Linked DNA regions of Macaca fascicularis. The protein of the gene in region 2 binds, or shares a complex with, the protein of the main gene of each other region. Links are inferred from orthologs where the notes say so. Each region holds a gene or a part of one and is shown on either strand. Other genes may lie near its edges.

Region 1 (3,651 bases), on a different chromosome or scaffold from region 2:
GGGATTACAGGCACCTGCCACCACACCCACCTAATTTCTGTATTTTCAGTAGAGATGGGGTTTTACCATGTTGGCCAGAATGGTCCCGATCTCCTGACCTTGTGATCTGTCCGTCTCAGCCTCCCAAAGTGCTGGGATTACAGGCATGAGCCACCATGTAATCAGAAATCACCTGGCCGGTGATTTTTTTTTTTCCTTTTTAAGCCTACTACATAGAGTTTACATGGCAAGCCCTCAGAATAGTTCATGTCACAGGGTAAATCCTCTACATAAAGTATGAAACATCGTTTTCATTTTCTTTGTGTGCAGCAGCCCTGCATACGCTGCTTGCTATAAAGATACCCAGGGCAGAGGGTACAAAGAAGAGGCTCTATCGCTACACATTGTAGACTGAAGTTCTGACATCTCTTATGGAGAATGCCAATTGGCATCGTTCCTGGAGGGCAATTAGGTACCATACTTCTACTTTAAACATATATACCTTTTAACTCAGCGATCTCATTGCTAGACATTTTCTCTAGGGGAGTGTCGCAAATGTTTGCCAAAATACCTGTAGAGGGATGTTTTCTTCAACCAGAATGTCTAAGGGAAGATTGAATAAGTGAATTATAGCCCCTCCATCTCTTCAGTAGGGTACTATGCAGCCATTAAAATGGATGAGGTAGATCTGTAGGGCCATACCTAGAAAGGTTTTCAAGTGAAAAAGATACAATAGTGTCCATAATATAATTCCTTTTATATTCATTTACATATAGTTGTCCATATTTTATATGGACTGGTGTGTGTGTGTGTATGATTTTTTTCTATTAGAAGCACACCTATAAATCATGTGTTGGACAGCTGTTCATGGGTACAGATTTGTGTATCTACTCATAGTGGACCTATGCTGTTTCCTTAGCTAAAATGATTTATGGTTTCAGTTAGTGTGGGCACAGCCTGTCCCCCTCCGTTAAACAGTGGACTCGCACCTCCCCGCATCAGGTTCAGTTGTGGAGAGGAGGCTGGGTGCTCTGTCCTGGGCGGCAGCCTCAGCGAGGCTGGGGCTTTCCTAGAGACAAGTGTTTCATGAGGGTAGAGAATATTACTTTGTTCAGCTTCCTGAAGTGGGGAATGTTACTCTAAAAAATGGCGTACCCTTTCCTGGTTTAGGTTCATCTAGAAGAAGGCCAGGATGAATTCAAGAAAGTCTAGATGGATTTAAAAAAAAAAAAAAAAATAGATGTATCTAGACAAAGGTTAAAAAATCCTTGGTAGAAGTTTGGGTCACTTTGTTTAATGAACGGGAAGGAATGCCATACTTCATTGATTCTGAAACAGGGATGAGTCTTAAAATCAATGATATGAGAAAATATTGGTTCTTAGTTTTGTTATCAACACACTTTCCATTTTATTCCTTTCTTTTCCTTAGCAATGCAAGTTTCATCTTAATGGTATCGTGTTAGATCCAGTAAAAGCAACAATTTTTAACCCAAGACCTTGTATGGTCGGCCTGCTCAGTACATTTTTTAGTTTGAATTATTAGAGTTTATATACTTCAGAAATGCTTGTGATGGGCTCCAAATCCGTTTATTCTTGTAATTGGTTTAAATGTCCCTCTTAAAATGTGTTTATGTTAGAAGTTTAATATGTTTACTCTTTCATTAGTTCATTGGTATAAACCCTGGCAAGTCTCATAATCTGTAATTAATAGAGATCAAAATATGGTCTTAACTATATTGCAGTAATCTAGTTTTCCCTTCTCTAATAAGAATTCTTACTATTTCCTGGCCTTCTCTGGAAAGGTATTTTTTGTTTGTTTTGGTTTTTGTTTTTGAGACGGAGTCTCACTCTGTTGCCCAGGCTGGAGTGCAGCGGCGTAATCTCGGCTTACTGCAACCTCTGCCTCCTGGGTTCAAGCCATCCTCCTGCCTCAGCCTCCAGATATGCACTTTAATGGCTGCATAGTTCCCATAATTCACTTATCCACTCTTCTCTTGGTTTGCTTCCACGTTGTTATTATAGATGAGTTTGAGCAAACTCTTTGTGGTGGGGTTCCTAAAAATGTATAGTGTCAGGCTTTTTCCTTTGAGGAAAAATAGTTGTGGTGTTTTGCCCAAATTCAGCTGTGTGACTGTTAGGAGCCACCCATCAGCTTCATAGGAGTCAGGGGTTTTCACCTCTAGGGACCCTTCAAATATCACAATAAGCCCATCTGTGTACCATGAAGAGGGTTATTAAATAGTTCATCTCATGCCTCAGGCTCCTCTAGAGGAGGCTTCAACCTGCTTTCCAGCACCTTCTCCTATCCCTGGGCTGTACTGGCTTCTTGGTAGATTGTCTGAATATCATCAGCATCTCCTGGAGGGAGAGGGAGAGCGGACAGTGGACTTTTGTTCTAATTTAGCCTTTCCTTTATTTGGGACACAGGGTCAGTGAAGCTAGAGGAAGAGAAGTTATTGATGCTTCTGTGATTTTCTGCCAGGCTTACAGAACAACTGTGTCTCAAAGATGGGCATGTCTCCTGTTTTTTGTTTTATTTTGTTTTATTTTTAAAGCCTGGAATGAAGATTGTTATTCTTGAGGGTGATAACAGGTTTAGTTTCTGTCTCTGTCACTAGTCACTGGTCTCTCCAATGAAATATATGTAAAGCTTTCAGCACTGTGGCTGGCACCAAGCAAACAATAAATGATAGATGCCAGCTTACAGTTGCCACCTTCTCATAGAAGGCCTCCTTCCTCATTCAGCTTTTTGCTTGTTCTCCAGAGAATCACATTTTGGAAGATGTGAACAAATGTGTCATTGCTCTCCAGGAGAAGGATGTGGATGGCCTGGACCGCACAGCTGGTGCAATTCGAGGCCGGGCAGCCCGGGTCATTCACGTAGTCACCTCAGAGATGGACAACTATGAGCCTGGAGTCTACACAGAGAAGGTTCTGGAAGCCACTAAGCTTCTCTCCAACACAGGTACGGGAACTCTAGCTTTTCAGTGCTCGCACACACTGCAACCTGAGTAGGGCAGGCCACCCGATTAGCCCAGCCCTGTGGTGAGGAAGGAGGAGTCGGGAACTCAGATTTGGTCTCATGGCACATTGGGCTCCTGAGAAGTTGGTCATAGCCAAATTCAGGCCTCACAAGCATATTTTCTTCATGTGTATCTCATGAGTAATCATGGGACTAATTCTAAACACACTATTTAAGATGAATTTCTGAGTTTAACCTCAGGTTAAACTATTAACCTGAGGTCCTATTCTTAAGCAAGGCTTCAAGTTAGTCTCACTTCCAAGTTCTCAACCATCCAATCCCTCAACCATCCAATCCCTCTGTTGCAGAGAAAAAGATGATTTGAGTTGTTGAGTTGTTGTAAAATACTGCATTTATTTCAACCATAAATACTCCTCACATAGATAGAAGCAGAGGCTCTTCATCATAAGCCTCACCTCTTTCTGTCTAGCTGAGTGATTCAGGGAGGGTCAGGGGAATGATGCTGCCTGCATACCAGGACATCTGCTGTGCCCCTTTCTCCACAGTCATGCCACGTTTTACTGAGCAAGTAGAGGCGGCCGTGGAAGCCCTCAGCTCGGACCCTGCCCAGCCAATGGATGAGAATGAGTTTATCGATGCCTCCCGCCTGGTATATGATGGTATCCGGGACATCAGGAAAGCAGTGCTGA
Region 2 (3,651 bases):
TTGCCCTGGCTGGAGTGCAATGGTGCGATCTCAGCTCACTGCAACCTCCGCCTCCTGGGTTCAAGTGGTTCTCCTGCCTCAGCCTCCTGAGTAGCTGGGATTACAGGGGTCTGCCACCACACCCAGCTAATTTTTGTATTTTTAGTAGAGATGGGGTTTCACCATGTTGGCCAGGCTGATCGTAAACTCATGACCTCAGGTGATCCGTCCTCCTCAGCCTCCCAAAGTGCTAGGATTACAGGCATGAGCTACCACACCTGGCCTGATTTTTTTTCTTCTCCAATTAAGTGAAAATGGCTCTCTGCTTTTACCTATGTGAGTGGCAATGAAGACTACAATGACTCATTCAGCTTTATGTCACTGCTAAGTCACCGGAAGCATCACTGCTTTCTGTGCCATAAGTACAAATGGTAACAGTCTTGGGACTCTCAGACCACACTTTAAGAACCAATAATCAAGGAAAAAAGCAAGTGTGATTAAGATAATAATGGTCACAATATACACTTCATGTGAAAAAGAAAAAAATTACAAAACAAAATATATAATTCATCTCAGAGGAAAAATGTGTTTGCTCACATGGTAAAAATGTTTAAAAAGATACAAGTGGTTTTCTCTGGATAATAGAAACAAGTGATTTTTTGTTATTTTTCTGATTGTTTATATTTTGTAATTTTAAAATAGTAATTATCTATTATAATATTCGGTATTAAATGGAAATTTAAAAGGAGAAAAAATAGAGAAAACAGACTAGAGTTCACTTTCCAGTGTTTTAAGTTCACAAGCAATGATAAGGGAATCACACTCAGGCTAATTACCTGTTTTGTTTTAATTTCTAATGCTTAGACCTACCCATTTCTGCATTAGGATCCTGGAGTGGAGAATTATTCCCCTCCCCCAAAAGACTACCCAATTCAGAAATAATATATATCCTATTTGTTAGTAAGCCACCTAGAACAGCAAGAGTGGCTAAAAGGAGAGGGTGTGCCTTCTGGATACTGCACCTGATTTTTGGTTCCGGTCAATGAGAGGGAGAGTACTATCATCGTATGAATGACTGCTCTGGCTTCGGGAAGCATTGTTTAGATTCACCTAGAGGCAAACACAAACGCAATAATATCACAGAATACTGAATTCACCCATATCTTATGCTCTAATGGGCATAAACCTCTAGGTTCCTATTCCCAAATAGAATTACAAAAAAGCAACTCATAAGAGTTGAATAAATAACCTAGATAGTGAAACAAACTAGGATATTATGGCTTCTATTTGTGTTCCAGAACAGGAGATTACAAAGGATCCAAATGTTGATACTATCAGAAGAAAATACAGTTTCAGAGAATAGTAAAAATTCTCTCAAAGGGCGATGGTAGATTTGGGCAAAAAGGCCATCATCCTTCATTATCACCTGCACCTAAAGTATGTTATGACGTAGAGGGATGCCTGAGCTGTGTCAGCAACAAATGAATTGTAGACACATCATCCTTTTGAGGAGTAAACCAAATGTTTTTTCTTTTTTTTTTTTTTTTTTTTTTGAGACAGGGTTTAGCTATGCTGCCCAGGCTGGAGTGCAGCAGTGTGATTTCAGCTCACTGCAACCTCCACCTCCTGGGCTCAAGCGATCCTCTCACCTCAGCCTCCTGAGTTGCTGGGACTACTGGCAAATGACACAACTGGCTACTTATTTTATTTCTATTTTTGGTAGAGATGGGTTTCACCATGTTGCCCAGCCTGGTCTCACACTCCTAGGCTCAAGCAATCCACCTGCCTCAGCCTCCCAAAGTGTTCAAATTACAGGTTTGAGCCAACACGCCTGGCCAGATAATTCCTAATGAAGAAATATGGGTCAAAAATAGATTCAACATGAGGCCAGGTGCAATGGCTCACGCCTGTAATCCTAGCACTTCGGGAGGCCGAGGCAGGCGGATTGCCTAAGCTCAGAGTTCAAGATTAGCCTGGCCAACATGCTGAAACCTCATCTCTACTAAAAATACAAAAAATCATCTGGGTATGGTGGTGTGCGCCTGTAGTCCCAGCTACTGGGGAGGCTGATGCACAAGAATCACTTGAACCCGGGAGGTGGAGGTTGCAGTGAGCCAAGACTGCACCACTTCACTCCAGCCTGGGCGACTGAGTAAGACTCTGTCTCCAAAAAGAAAAAAAAAAATAGATTTAACATGATGGTGAAACAGCAGAAACCAAAGACAACAGAAGCATTATCCTGGGACCAAGAAAAAAAAAAAAAAAGTAAAAGTCTTGGTCTCAAAAGTTACTATACCTGAAAGTCTGATTTCTTCCATCCTTCTTTCTCCAGTGGCTTCCGCAGTTCCTTATATCCCCAGATTGTTTGTAATACAAGTGCTGCTGCTCGAACTTCTTTTTCTGAGCGGTTCCTTTGGAGGAAAGTAACACCATATGGAATTTGGATATAAGACCAGGAAAAAAGCTTAGACCCTATATCGTCTAATAACATAAGAATATAAATGCCAGGGGCAGGGCATGGTGGCTTATGCCTGTAATCCCAGCACTTTGGGAGGCCAAGGCAGGTGGATCACCTGAGGTCAGGAGATGGAGACCATCCTGGATAACATGGTGAAACCCCATCTCCACAAAAATATAAAAAAGTAGCTGGGCATGGTGGCACACACCTGTAGTCCCAGCTACTCAGGAGGCTGAGCCAGGAGAATCGCTTGAACCCGGGAGGTGGAGGTTGCAGTGAGCTGAGATTGCACCACTGCACTCCAGCCTGGGTGACAGAGCGAGACTCTGTCTCAAACAAGAATATAAATGCCAAAATGGGTTAAATCAAATTTTTACCAAATCCTGTATTCTACCCCAAATAGTGACACAAAAAAAGTCTGACATAAGAGCCTATTAATTTATGGATCAACATCAAGACAGGTAATAGAGCAATAGCTCTTCACACTTTACATGTAAATAAGGGGAAATTTCCTTTTTTTTTTTTTGAGATGAAGTGTCGCTTTGTCGCCCAGGCTGGAGTGCAGTGGCGCGGTCTTGGCTCACTGCAAGCTCCGCCTCCCAGGTTCACACCATTCTCCTGCCTCAGCCTCCCGAGTAGCTGGGACTACAAGCGCCTGCCACCACACCTGGCTAATTTTTTCTATTTTTAGTAGAGACAGGGTTTCATCATGTTAGCCAGGATGGTCCCGATCTCCTGACCTCGTGATCTGCCCACCTTGGCCTCCCAAAGTGCTGGGATTACAGGCGTGAGCCACCGCGCCCAGCTTCCTTTTTCTTAGTAACCAAAAGAAGGAAACAACTCCCCACTCACTCAAATTCTTCTGATTGTAATTTTAGGTGGTAAGCTCACCCTGATTTGTTGATCAACACCAGCTTCTCAATACCCTGTGTCTCTCGAAGCTTTTTGGCAGCCTCCAAGTTCTCGGCGATAACCTCATTGATAGTGTTCAAAATAGAGACTACAGTGTCCTCAGAGAAATTCCAAGAGGAATTCTGCTGTCCTCCTGGCAGATTCTTTACCAAGTTAGGAACAGCATGTTTACCTAGTCAGAAAGAATGTATACAGGGAGAAAAGATCAAGTCAGGTCATGAAGAGCCTTACATTATACTTAATTGCATTAATCATATCAAGTGTAGGTGCTGTCCATAAGAATCAACTTCATTATCCTATAG
Region 3 (3,651 bases), on a different chromosome or scaffold from region 2:
GAAGTGCACCTAGAGATGGCCTTATTTACCAAGGTTACAAAGACATAATCAGTAATTACTGCTAATAATGCTAATATTGGCAACCACCCTTTATTGCATGACCGTTAGTACTGAAAATTTGACATGTGTTATTTGATTAAAGTGTCCAACAAACTTAGGAGACAGAAGACTATCAAGTTCACTTTGTATATGAAAGTCAGAATCAGTTAGATTACGTAACTGATCAATCACAGATTTGGAATCTACACTCAGGTCTGTTGAATCCCACTTCTCAGAGCCCTAAGATACTGAAGCAGGAATGGAGATGCGCCTTTAGTTGTGAATGGGAAACAAGAGGAAGATTTGTTGGTATAAGAAGAGAACAGAGCCCCTTGCCCAGCATGAGGTTCTCTTGTCCCTCTGGCATAGCTGGTCTTTGACCAGTGCCACCATGTCATTAAGCCCCCTCCAACCCTCCTGGTCTTAGCATCACAAGGGCCAAGGTTCCTTTCCACCCACACTGCTTCTACAGCTGCTTCCTCTTTTCCAAGAGACAATCACAAAGCTGCTGGGAAAGAAGGGTAACCAGGGCATCCCCACTGTCCCTTCCATCTCAGCTACAACCTGAACCAATGCTCAGGAAGTGCGACATTCCTGCCAGTCTCCTCCAAGCTCAGCAGCTTTCATGCTCTCCTGCCAAGGAGGAGACTGAGGCACAGCCCCTGGGCCTGGGAACCATTTCTGTTTCCCTTCATGGTTGAGCCTCTGAGCCACTGGAACTGTCCAAGGCAAGAAATTCTACTGTTACACAAAGACTGCTGTTTGCCCAGATGGTTTTCTTCTTAAAATTACACAACAAATCAAGTTTGCTGCTGCTCTCACATTTGGGATGGGGAGATTCCTTCCAGGGGACTTCACAATCTGGAGAGTTTGGACCTTGCTCCTGTTTCCTTACCCAGGAAGGGCTCACAGGAGGGTGCACAGGCACGTACCTGCCAGAGGAGCCTAACCTCCCTTCCCTCCTTCACACCGCAGGGAAGACAAAATGCAAAGAACCCTGGGAGCCTCAGGCAAACACCAGCTTCTTCAATCACATATTTTTGAGAAACTCTCTAATTACATGAGCATCACATCAAAGTTCATTGGAATATCTTTTCCCTAAAGTGTCTCACTTCATTCAGCAAGTCTCTCCCTTCCAGGAAAGAACCACCAGTGGAGGTGTAAGATGGGGTGACCGAATCCTCTGTGTGTGTTTCCTTTTGACATTTGTGTTCATTTTCTAAATCAACCACTTAATTCTAGATGAAGACAAACAGGAGAGCTCACAATGCTTTCATCTCTTTGTCTGTCTAATCCCGGCCCAGAGTTGCTGCAAGGGTGACTAAGATAACGTAGGGCCCATTTCAGAAGCAGCCGGTTTGAAAAACCAGTGGCCATTGGCCAGTTACTTTATATGGTTCTGCCTTGTGTTAGGTGCCTTCATGTGTTAGGTGCCTTCAGAGAGGATGTGTTAGACATCCTCTTTGATCCACAACCTATCTGAGAATTTGACTTTATCATCCCAGTTCACAGATGAGGATGTAGGGTTAAATGATGAAGCTAATGAGATGCGAAGGCAGAAACAGAGCCCAGGCCTTATACCTCCAAGGGCAGTGAGCTTTCTGGTTGGCCTCTGCCGGACAATGGTAGAAGAGCAGGTTCTGCCATGATCTACGGAAAGCCATGACCAAGAAGCCAGCTCAGACTCATTTAACCAGTGAGCCTAACACAATCCCATTTAGGGAACGTCTACCTAATAAAAATCACTTTTTCCCTAAGCACAGTTTCTCAAACTTAGCACTTAGGGGACTGGGGCAGATAATTCTCTGTGGTAGAGACTGTCTTGTGTGTTGTAGGATATTTAGCAGCATCTCTGACCTCAACCCACCAGACACCAGTAGCACTCCTAACTGTGACCATCAAAACTGTCTCCAGGCATTGACGAATATCCCCTGTGGAGCAAAATTGCTCATGGTTGAGAACCATTCATCTAAAACAATAAATTCATTTATCTGAGTTAGTTTTTCCAAGAATTTTTTCCCACTTGCTACTGAAACATGGGTAAGAATGAAGAATTAAGAGGTGGTACAGTGGGTGAAAAAACACATGCTATATGTCTGTGTATTATTGAATTCCTTGCCATAAGACACAAAGCATGATATTCCACTACCTGGGCTGAAGTGGCTTTGCTCTCCTCATTATACATGACCAGTGTTTGGTGGCCTTCATCATTGGATATAGAGCATCCATGCCTCTTAGGTTCAAGCACAAAATAGCGTCGCAACAGGAAAAGCAGAGCCACTGTGATAAGACAAAGGGGAAAAACAGATTAGACAAGCTCACCCATATCAGAGGTTTCATGAGGATCTTGTTCTGTTCATTTATAACTCAGTCATGAACTGGCAAGGTCAAACTGCATCTTGGTCATCTGTGTAGCTCTAAAGTTTAGCACAGTTCCGGGATATAACTAGATGCTACGTACTGTTTGTTGAATTAATCAATAATACTATCTGGCCGGTAATATTGTATTGTTTCTTGGAAAAGCTGCTTTCTCATTAGCCTTGCCAAGTCCAGGAGCCTGGACATCTGTACGTTGCTGTCTCCATGGTTATTACAAAGGACCACTCCTTGACTATGTTTACCGATGGAGTCCATTGTGAGTACAGGCTGCTTTTGCTGGCCAGGGATCTTGCCTGGCCAACATGGCAACCTCTGATCTGCATCTAGGAGTGTGAGTACACCCAGAAGTCATTCTCAAAGCCATTCCACCAATCCTGCCATCGGCTGTCCCCTACCCCAGCAAACCCCATACCCTTGGCCTATTGCCTGGGGAGAGGAGCCATAGTCCCAGGACACCCCTACAGACCACTGACCTGCCAGAGCCACGAATGCTGCACAGACAGGGGACAGGGCCCCCACAAGAAGCCCCACTCCTGCATCTGCATGCTCCACACACGTGAACCCACTGGCACAGGGGCAGATCCTTACATGGACAGTTTGCTTCTGGGAAAGTCCCTGTTTGTCTCCAATGAAGAGTGGCACCAAGTAATTACCACGTGGCAGGCTTCTCAAGGTTAAAAGTTCAACTGAATGACCTGCAAAGGGAAAAAGAACATGGCATGCATTGACTCACTCATCTGCTCATCTGCTCAATGCACGCTTACTAAATGCCCTGCACAGGCCAAGCTCTGTATGAACGTAAGCCAACTGCAGAGTTAGAGGGAGGGGTCCCCAAGGGCACCCTCACTTCTGACACCAACTGCAAGTTCATGGATTCCCAAGACCACCCTCAGGTTCAACAATTCTCTAGAAAGACTCACAGAACACACTGAAAGTTGTTACAGCGATGGTGCCGTTTTTTACAAGGAAAAGATACAGATGAAAATCAGACAAGGAAAGAGGCACCTAGGGCAGAGTTCAGAAAAGCACCAATGTCAGAGCTTCTCATCATCCTCTCCTGAGAAGCCAGGTCAGCATCAGTGAGGGACAGCACACATGGGATGCTGCAGTCAGGGACGTTCACCTGAGCCTCAGGCTCCAGTGTCCTCCTGGGGCTTGGTCAGGCAACCTGGTGGGCCTCCCAGGTGGGTGGCCTCAGTCTCCAACCTCTCTGGTAGTCGACTGACACTATGT

What was found.
Region 1: CTNND1 (region 2) and CTNNA1 share a complex: the UniProt entries of both Homo sapiens proteins name them as parts of the cadherin:catenin adhesion complex. The link is inferred for Macaca fascicularis from reciprocal best matches to the Homo sapiens genes CTNND1 and CTNNA1.
Region 3: CTNND1 (region 2) and CDH26 share a complex: the UniProt entries of both Homo sapiens proteins name them as parts of the cadherin:catenin adhesion complex. The link is inferred for Macaca fascicularis from reciprocal best matches to the Homo sapiens genes CTNND1 and CDH26.

The regions. Positions count from the first base shown.
Region 1 is NC_088380.1:145,422,013-145,425,663, forward strand, and holds part of CTNNA1 (catenin alpha-1), read left to right. Parts: intron 1-2,743; coding exon 2,744-2,944; intron 2,945-3,507; coding exon 3,508-3,651. UniProt on the Homo sapiens protein: Associates with the cytoplasmic domain of a variety of cadherins. The association of catenins to cadherins produces a complex which is linked to the actin filament network, and which seems to be of primary importance for cadherins cell-adhesion properties.
Region 2 is NC_088388.1:15,790,196-15,793,846, forward strand, and holds part of CTNND1 (catenin delta-1), read right to left. Parts: intron 3,522-3,651; coding exon 3,329-3,521; intron 2,391-3,328; coding exon 2,276-2,390; intron 1,090-2,275; coding exon 1,002-1,089; intron 1-1,001. UniProt on the Homo sapiens protein: Key regulator of cell-cell adhesion that associates with and regulates the cell adhesion properties of both C-, E- and N-cadherins, being critical for their surface stability.
Region 3 is NC_088384.1:116,049,174-116,052,824, reverse strand, and holds part of CDH26 (cadherin-like protein 26), read right to left. Parts: intron 3,114-3,651; coding exon 2,892-3,113; intron 2,320-2,891; coding exon 2,189-2,319; intron 1-2,188. UniProt on the Homo sapiens protein: Cadherins are calcium-dependent cell adhesion proteins. They preferentially interact with themselves in a homophilic manner in connecting cells; cadherins may thus contribute to the sorting of heterogeneous cell types.